Linked DNA regions of Caenorhabditis elegans. The protein of the gene in region 2 purifies or fractionates together with the protein of the main gene of each other region. This does not show direct contact. Each region holds a gene or a part of one and is shown on either strand. Other genes may lie near its edges. The genes, in order: C18A3.3 and gop-2.

The links.
Region 1: the proteins of gop-2 (region 2) and C18A3.3 fractionate together in Caenorhabditis elegans (co-fractionation; one large-scale study listed by BioGRID). This does not show direct contact.

What each region holds. Positions count from the first base shown.
Region 1 is NC_003280.10:5,714,556-5,718,751, reverse strand, and holds C18A3.3 (putative rRNA-processing protein EBP2 homolog), read right to left. Parts: upstream 2,446-4,196; coding exon 2,374-2,445; intron 2,331-2,373; coding exon 2,220-2,330; intron 2,169-2,219; coding exon 1,954-2,168; intron 1,905-1,953; coding exon 1,682-1,904; intron 1,332-1,681; coding exon 1,024-1,331; intron 977-1,023; coding exon 883-976; 3' UTR 714-882; downstream 1-713. Other genes in the region: zipt-3 (Zinc/iron permease), read right to left, coding at 19-90, 145-454, 507-607; C18A3.10 (uncharacterized protein), read left to right, coding at 3,152-3,207, 3,251-3,399, 3,447-3,457; lelo-4 (Late ELOngation arrest), read right to left, coding at 2,502-2,670, 3,629-3,828; Cytotoxic granule-associated RNA binding protein tiar-1, read left to right, coding at 3,947-4,089, 4,162-4,196. UniProt on the Caenorhabditis elegans protein: Required for the processing of the 27S pre-rRNA.
Region 2 is NC_003281.10:5,256,774-5,261,012, forward strand, and holds gop-2 (GPN-loop GTPase 1), read left to right. Parts: upstream 1-2,249; 5' UTR 2,250-2,259; coding exon 2,260-2,403; intron 2,404-2,450; coding exon 2,451-2,786; intron 2,787-2,948; coding exon 2,949-3,225; intron 3,226-3,268; coding exon 3,269-3,429; intron 3,430-3,471; coding exon 3,472-3,621; 3' UTR 3,622-3,739; downstream 3,740-4,239. Other genes in the region: gop-1 (Protein CLEC16A homolog), read left to right, coding at 85-144, 232-447, 507-632, 680-802, 850-979, 1,035-1,285, 1,335-1,415, 1,582-1,866; SAM50-like protein gop-3, read left to right, coding at 3,935-4,060, 4,143-4,239. UniProt on the Caenorhabditis elegans protein: Small GTPase required for proper nuclear import of RNA polymerase II (RNAPII). May act at an RNAP assembly step prior to nuclear import.

The DNA.
Region 1 (4,196 bases), on a different chromosome or scaffold from region 2:
TATTTTTAAGGTATGTACCTGTCGGAAAATAATTTCATCTGCATCATCATCCATTGCAACAAGTGGAACGTGATCCTCTCCTTCTTCCTCCTGAAAACTTTTTTTAAATATTAAACCCGGGAAATTCAAAAAACAAAAGCTTACATCGTGGAACTTGTTCATTTTAATTGAATCACTTGTTGCCAGTGGGCTGTGTCCTGAATGTGAATGGCCATTTCCGATTGAATGTCCGATTCCGTGAATGATTTGCTCAGTTATCAAAATTATCAGGAATCCAATAATAACTAATTGATCAGTCGATGGAATCCATCCATAACTATCAACTATCGTCTGATTCCCTCTTAAATGCATTTCTTGATGTCTGACATGAGGGACAAGTCCGAGGAAACACGTGGCAATGAAGACACCGCATGAAGCACATCCCAGGAATGAGATTGATGTTTTTGAAGCGTTTCTGAAAAAAAAAATTTCTAGTTTTCATTTGTTATTTTGGAATTTAAACTGACACACAACATGTCCTTAGAAAAGTGTACGGTATCGATGTTGAGATCAGAAGAAGAATGAAAACAGCAAAAGCTGATGTTGTCATAAACAAAAATTGTTCCATTTTTAGTGCATTTTCTGAAAAATCTGCTTAGCGATTTTGATTTGGTTGGACTTTTTAAAAAATACAAGATCGATTAAAAAACGATTTGGAAGTTATTCAATGCTTGCAACAACAAATTATTTTATTGGACATTACTAAAATCAGAAGATCAACAATAAAAATGGGATAACTGTAAGAACAAAATTTTGAAAATCGAAATCCATAACAAGGAAAAATCAACAATGATGTAACAAAAGTTCATAAATTGTAAATATAAAAATAGGCTTAACGTTTGCTTAACGTCTTCCGCGTCCACCGCGTCCTCCTCGTCCACCACCACGACCACGTCCACCGAATCCTCCGCGTGGAGCTCCGAACAGATCATTGAAGCTGAAAAAAATAAAATAATTTCAGGAAAGACCGATGAAGCTTCTTACCTCTCCTTGTTGTTTCTCTTCATTCCCTTCTTCTTTCCTCCATAACCGAATTTATCCGATTTCAGTTTTCTTTTGAGTTCTCCTGCGTTTCTCATCGATCCTCCTCTTCCAGCTCCACCTCTTCCGGCACCACCTCTTCCTCCTAGACGGTCACCGAATGCTCCAGTCGGTGCGTCATCATCCTGATCAAGACCATGTCTTTTCACGTTGTTCAGCATATCTTCCAATTGTTGTTTCATTCCCTTTTTGTGCTTCTTCACAGCTTCTGCGAGGTTCTTTTTCTCTGTATTCTTGGCAGCGAGAACTTCCTGAAAAAAATGATATTCATGTTCAACGATTTTATTTTTGTAAATTCTACAAAACGAATCAGAGTAAATAGCATGTTTTACCAATATTTTAAATTTAAATTTAGTGATGGAAAATAGAAAAAATGTTTTATCTGGAAATAGATTTTTATTTCAGTTTGAAACAATTGCGAAGTGCTCAAAAACTGTATCAAAGTTGGATATTGCTGCAAAAAAATTTTATCCTGCAACTTTCAACTTGCAAACATTTTTGAGTGTTTGTCCAATCGAACCATTAGAAATTAAAGTTATTTTTCCGTTATTTTAATTAATTTTTAGGCTGAAATTTTTCTGGTTTTTTGAACAACCATTACCTTCTGAACCTTAACAGCAAACTTTTTCTCTTCACGAATACGGCGGAATGCTTCTTGTCGTTCCTTCATTTCTTGAATTCCGAGAAGTCTCTTGCGAACTTTCTGCATATGAGTGTCACTCTTTGCCATCTCTGCATAGTAATCTGTTGGTCGCAGAACTTTGATACCAAGATTCAGAAGACGTGGATAGGCGATTTGAACAGCTTTTTCAGCTTGCTTATAGCTTTAAAAAATTAGAATTTTCGAAATTATACAACCCTCGTGCAACTTACAAATTCAACTCTCTTTGGAAGTCGTCATTTTCCACTTTCTTGTCCATTTCAGAATGAGGAGTTACCACTTCAAGAGTCTCAACCCATGGAAGATCTTTTGTGATTTCAGCCAATTTTTCTTTCATTTCAGCACTTTTGTTGATGATCGGACGCTTTTTGGCTACTTGAATGTTGAGTCCATCTTTAAGAAGACCAGCAGCGAATGCGGCTTGGAGCTGCAATCAGTTTTTTTTTTTGAAAATACTTTTTAAAAAAGTAATTCTCACCTCTCTTTCATCGTCATCGCCGTCTGATTCAACCTCTTCGATATCCATCGCTTCCATTGGTTTTTCCTCGATAGCATTATCGAAGTCAAATTCGGATCCGTCGGAATCGCTCTGAAATTTTGAATTATTTTTTAAAACAAAGTATTTTCCTCACTTCTGGTTCCGGTTGACGACTTTTTGAAGTGCTGGCGAGCCGCTTGGCGAGCTTATTCATTTTACGAACCATCTGAAATCGATAATCAATAAATCCATTAAAAATTAGAAAAACACAATTATAAAATATTAAAAACGCTGAAAACGTTTTCTTTTGAAGATCGAAGAATAGTAAAAAATTAACAAATTATTATTACAAACATTCACAAGAACAAGAAAAATATAATACATGAAAACAAAAAAATTATTAACAATTATTATTGCACATCGAATCGAGCACCAATGAGAAGACGGCTGGCTGAAAGTTTTTAAATAATTAGCTTGCACTAAAAAATTAACAAAATAAATAGTATTTTAATACATGAAACTTTGACAAGAAACATTTTATATCGGTAATGTGTCTTCCCAAAAAACAGCCAATAAATTCTTGGCCGAACTGCGGCGCATTGAAATTTCTCTTCCACAAAAGATTTCTCGTTCATAATGCTGCGTCCAAACCCGAAAAAATCTCAAATGTTCTTCATTTTTTTAAATTGAACTGATAATTGAAGAGAAAAACGATTATCGGAAGCAGCATAAAGATATATTGACCCGAAAATTTACGAAGAGACCCCCAGAAAACATTATTTAGATTGAATTTTCTCTTTGAACAAACACATGAATAGGTTTTTAGTCTATCAATTGATAAGAGTCGGAGTGCAATGGTATGTGCGATGTGACTCATTTTTCTTCGATTTTTTGTACAATAAGAAACAATTTTTCAGAAAAATTTAATGAAAATGAATAAGTCTAAAGATCGAACACCTACAGTATCCACGATTGAGAGCTATGGAACGTAAGTTTTAGAATCAAATTTCTATGATATCTGTACTTTACAGAGATATGCCGCATGAGCATTATCGTTACTATAGAGAAAAAAATATATGTGGCATTTCTGGACCAATATGCTTTTGTTCAACTCTGATCTTAGTGGGATTTTTGATTTTGCTAGGAATTTTGGCGATAGTTATATTTTTCATACTTCATCGTGAGTACTAGACGTCCAGTTCTTAATATTAAGCATGTTCTTTACAGATACGTTATGAAACGAGTGGTCAGCTTCTCACTATCAACGACAAAATTATATTTCTTACTATTCTAAACCCTAAAAATGGATTTTCAACGTTTATACATGAATGAAAACATATTTTACGCCTATTGTTTGATTGGAATGAATTCTAAATTGATTTGATGTTTTAAAACTTTAAAATACTCACCATTTTTGCGGAGGAACGGGCTGAAACTTAAAATTATTTGCAGAAATTCGAAACTGAAAACTCTGTTTTGAATTGCCGCTTGAGTAAGATCCGCAGGGTGACACGCAGCGCACTGACCGCAACGCTCTAGACGACACTTGCGAGCATAGTTTTGAATGTGAACGCAGCGTTCCCGCACTGTTTTTATTGGTTTTTTGCATGTTTCTTTGTTTTTTTAAGTATTTATTAAACGTTTATCTCTCTTTACGATATTACGACATAAATTATTTTCTATCTTCTTATTCGTTTTCTTTTTTACAGGGATCTATCATTTAAGCCATGTCCTTCTTCAACCCACCAGCAAACTCCAACCATGGTTACAATGACGACGTCAATACTGGTTACAATGCCCGAATGCATTCAAAACTCGCCGAAAGAGAGGGATTTCATCTCGGAAACGGTTCAGATGAACCAAGAACTTTGTAAGTTGGGTACATTGGAAAGTTTCGAATTTCTTGTTGAAAATTGTCAATTAATTTACTCTTTTGTTGCAGGTATGTTGGAAATCTTGATTCGACAGTCACTGAGG
Region 2 (4,239 bases):
AACATTGATTGTTACACAAACTTTAATATTTTTAAATTTGAAAATTTTCTTCAAAGTGCTCAAAAATCCTGTCGAAAATTACAGGAAGATCTGGTGGATGATGTATTGGTTGATACTGAAAATTCAGCAATAAGTGATCCAGAAGTGAGTAGAAAACGTGCATGTATTAATTATTAAAAAAAAAATATAGTTTTCCCCAGTTTTCCTTGACCTAAAACTCAGCAATTTCAGCCTAAAAACGTGGAGTCAGAATCTCGTTCTCGATTTCAATCTGCTGTTGATGAGCTTCCACCTCCGTCGACTTCTGGATGTGATGGTCGACTTTTTGATGCACTTTCATCGATTATCAAAGCAGTTGGAACAGATGACAATCGAATTCGACCAATTACATTGGAACTTGCATGTCTTGTAATTCGGCAAATTTTAATGACTGTTGATGATGAAAAAGTAAGATTACAAATTCAAAATTGAGCAAAATCAGAATCTAAATTTCATAAATTGTTCAGGTACATACCAGTTTAACGAAATTATGCTTCGAAGTTCGTCTAAAACTTTTATCATCAATTGGACAATATGTTAATGGAGAGAATCTGTTTTTGGAGTGGTTTGAGGATGAATATGCAGAATTTGAAGTAAGCCAAGAGGTCCGAAAATAATTTAATTCATCCTTTTTATTCAGGTGAATCACGTGAATTTCGATATAATCGGTCACGAAATGCTTCTTCCTCCAGCTGCAACTCCTCTTTCGAATCTGCTACTTCATAAGCGATTGCCCAGTGGATTTGAAGAACGAATAAGAACTGTAGGAAACTTTTTAAATTTGAAAATTAATTATATATATATTTGCAGCAAATCGTATTCTACCTACATATTCGAAAATTGGAACGAGATTTGACCGGTGAAGGAGACACAGAATTACCTGTGAGAGTGTTGAATTCTGATCAGGAACCAGTTGCCATCGGTGATTGTATTAATTTACGTGAGTTCATCTGCATAGAAAACACCATATTTCTACTCAAATTAACAATTTTCAGATAATTCGGATCTTCTATCCTGCACTGTGGTTCCTCAACAACTATGTTCTCTTGGAAAACCTGGTGATCGTCTTGCTCGATTCCTTGTCACTGATAGACTTCAATTAATTCTTGTCGAACCGGATTCTCGAAAAGCCGGATGGGCAATTGTTCGATTCGTAGGACTTCTTCAAGATACAACAATTAATGGAGATTCTACGGATTCGAAAGTTTTGCATGTTGTGGTGGAAGGGCAACCCTCGAGAATTAAGGTAAGAATACTAACGGGAAAAAAAAATCAAAAAATTACTTCTGTTTCAGAAAAGACATCCGGTTTTAACTGCAAAGTTCATATTCGATGATCACATTCGGTGTATGGCAGCAAAGCAACGGCTCACCAAGGTAACGGAAAAAATAACCAAAAAGACGGAAAGTTATTGTAAATGGACGAAATCGGCGAAATTAATTGAAAACGTTTGAATTTGCCGCTAAAACCAAACGAAAACCAAACGAAAGCGAAATTTAACTATCCCTTCAGGTAGAATATACATTTTATTTCTCTTTATAGGGTCGCCAAACAGCACGTGGTCTGAAACTTCAGGCGATATGTTCAGCTCTTGGAGTTCCACGTATCGATCCAGCGACAATGACGTCATCACCACGAATGAATCCATTCAGAATTGTGAAAGGATGCGCACCGGGAAGTGTACGAAAAACTGTTTCCACATCATCATCGTCAAGCCAAGGACGTCCCGGACATTATTCTGCAAATCTTAGATCAGCATCTAGAAATGCAGGAATGATACCAGATGATCCAACTCAACCGAGTAGTTCTTCGGAAAGAAGATCCTAGGGATCAATATCTCTTCAGTTTCATCATTTTATGCTGTAAATTGTATTTAAGTATTCCTATTCTTTGTAGTACTGTATTTACACATCGTCTAGTTAAAATCACAAATCTCCGAAAAAACAAACCAGTGAACATGTGATATTTCTCTTGCCCATAGTTCTCTTTTTTTTTTGAAACAAAAACAATTACTTTTATGCTCACCTATTCGAGCCATATTTTTTTCCCAATTACCGGTTGTTTATTTTAATTTCTTTTTTTTTTCTGTAAATCTACTTTATTTTTAAAACTGCATTTGAGATTGTGTATATTTTTTCAAAATGGTTCAAATGCCGAATCTATCTACTTTTTAATCATTATTCAAACAGAAAAACCGATTATTTATTCAGATTCTCAAAAATGGCTGAAAAAGCTGAAAATCTTCCATCTTCTTCGGCCGAAGCTTCAGAAGAGCCATCACCTCAAACTGGACCAAATGTGAATCAAAAACCATCGATTTTGGTTCTTGGAATGGCTGGTTCTGGAAAAACGACATTTGTTCAGGTAACTTTCATTCAATTTTGAGAGTTTTCAAACATTACTATTTTCAGCGTCTCACAGCATTCCTACATGCTCGTAAAACACCTCCATATGTGATTAATCTGGATCCGGCAGTTAGCAAAGTACCTTATCCAGTGAATGTTGACATTCGAGATACTGTGAAATACAAGGAAGTTATGAAAGAATTCGGAATGGGACCAAATGGAGCAATTATGACATGTCTTAACCTGATGTGTACTCGTTTTGATAAAGTAATTGAGTTGATTAATAAGAGATCTTCTGATTTCTCAGTTTGTCTTCTTGATACTCCTGGACAAATTGAAGCATTCACTTGGAGTGCTAGTGGATCTATTATCACTGATTCATTGGCAAGTAGCCATCCCACGGTAAGGGATTTTGATTTATGAAATCTGCTTGAAATGAAAAAAGATTCTAATAAATTTTTGACTTTTAAACATTTTTTACAGTTATATTTGGTCTATTTTCTATCATTAAAAGCAAAATGAAAAGTCGATTCTACTCCATATTTATTAATTTCGACTTTTCAGGTGGTAATGTACATTGTGGATTCCGCTCGTGCCACAAATCCAACTACATTCATGTCCAATATGCTCTACGCATGTTCCATTCTCTACCGTACCAAACTTCCATTCATTGTCGTTTTCAACAAAGCTGATATTGTCAAACCAACATTTGCACTCAAATGGATGCAAGATTTCGAAAGATTTGATGAAGCTTTAGAGGATGCCAGAAGCAGTTATATGAATGATTTGAGTCGTTCATTGAGTCTCGTTCTTGATGAATTCTATTGCGGACTGAAAACAGGTTTTTATTCGAAATAAAACCTTTTTTAAATAATAAATTTCAGTTTGCGTCAGTTCTGCAACTGGAGAAGGATTCGAAGATGTAATGACAGCAATCGATGAAAGTGTTGAAGCATACAAAAAAGAATATGTTCCAATGTATGAAAAAGTGTTGGCTGAGAAAAAACTATTGGATGAGGAGGAGAGAAAGAAAAGAGATGAAGAGGTAATTGTAGTAATTTAATTCTGATTATCTTCAAATTTTCAGACTCTGAAAGGAAAAGCTGTTCACGACCTGAACAAAGTCGCCAATCCCGACGAATTTCTGGAGTCGGAGTTGAATTCAAAAATCGATAGAATTCATTTGGGCGGAGTCGATGAAGAGAATGAGGAGGATGCTGAACTCGAAAGATCCTGATTTTCTTTTTGTTTTTGAATTTTTATTCTATTTTGATCCCTGTTTACTTCTTATTGTTCTCATTTTGTTGCGTTGTTTTACATTTTACTCATTTTTGCATAAACTTGTTGCAAAAATCAATATAATTTTTGATCTGGAAATGGTTTTAAACCTTAACCTTTCATATATTAATAATTTTTTTTCAAAAAAACGTTCTAAAAAGGTTCCTCATTTTTTCAATATAGGAAATTTTGAAGATCTTTTCCAAAAATGAGGTTCTTCGCTTGAAAAGCCAACATTTAAAACCTTTTTTTTTCCAGAAACCTAGTGGTTAATGTCTGAAAAGACGTTCCACAAGGCACAGACCATCCGTGCAAAGGCATCCGGAGTGCCTTCAATCGTCGAAGCTGTACAGTTTCATGGAGTTCGCATCACAAAAAACGATGCTTTGGTTAAGGAGGTACTACCCAAATTTCAAAATGTTGCACAATTCAATTGAAAATATAAATTGTGAATTAAATTCAACTTACATGTTTTTTCAGGTTTCCGAATTATACAGAAGTAAAAATCTAGATGAACTTGTTCATAACTCTCATCTGGCGGCTCGTCATCTTCAAGAAGTTGGATTAATGGATAATG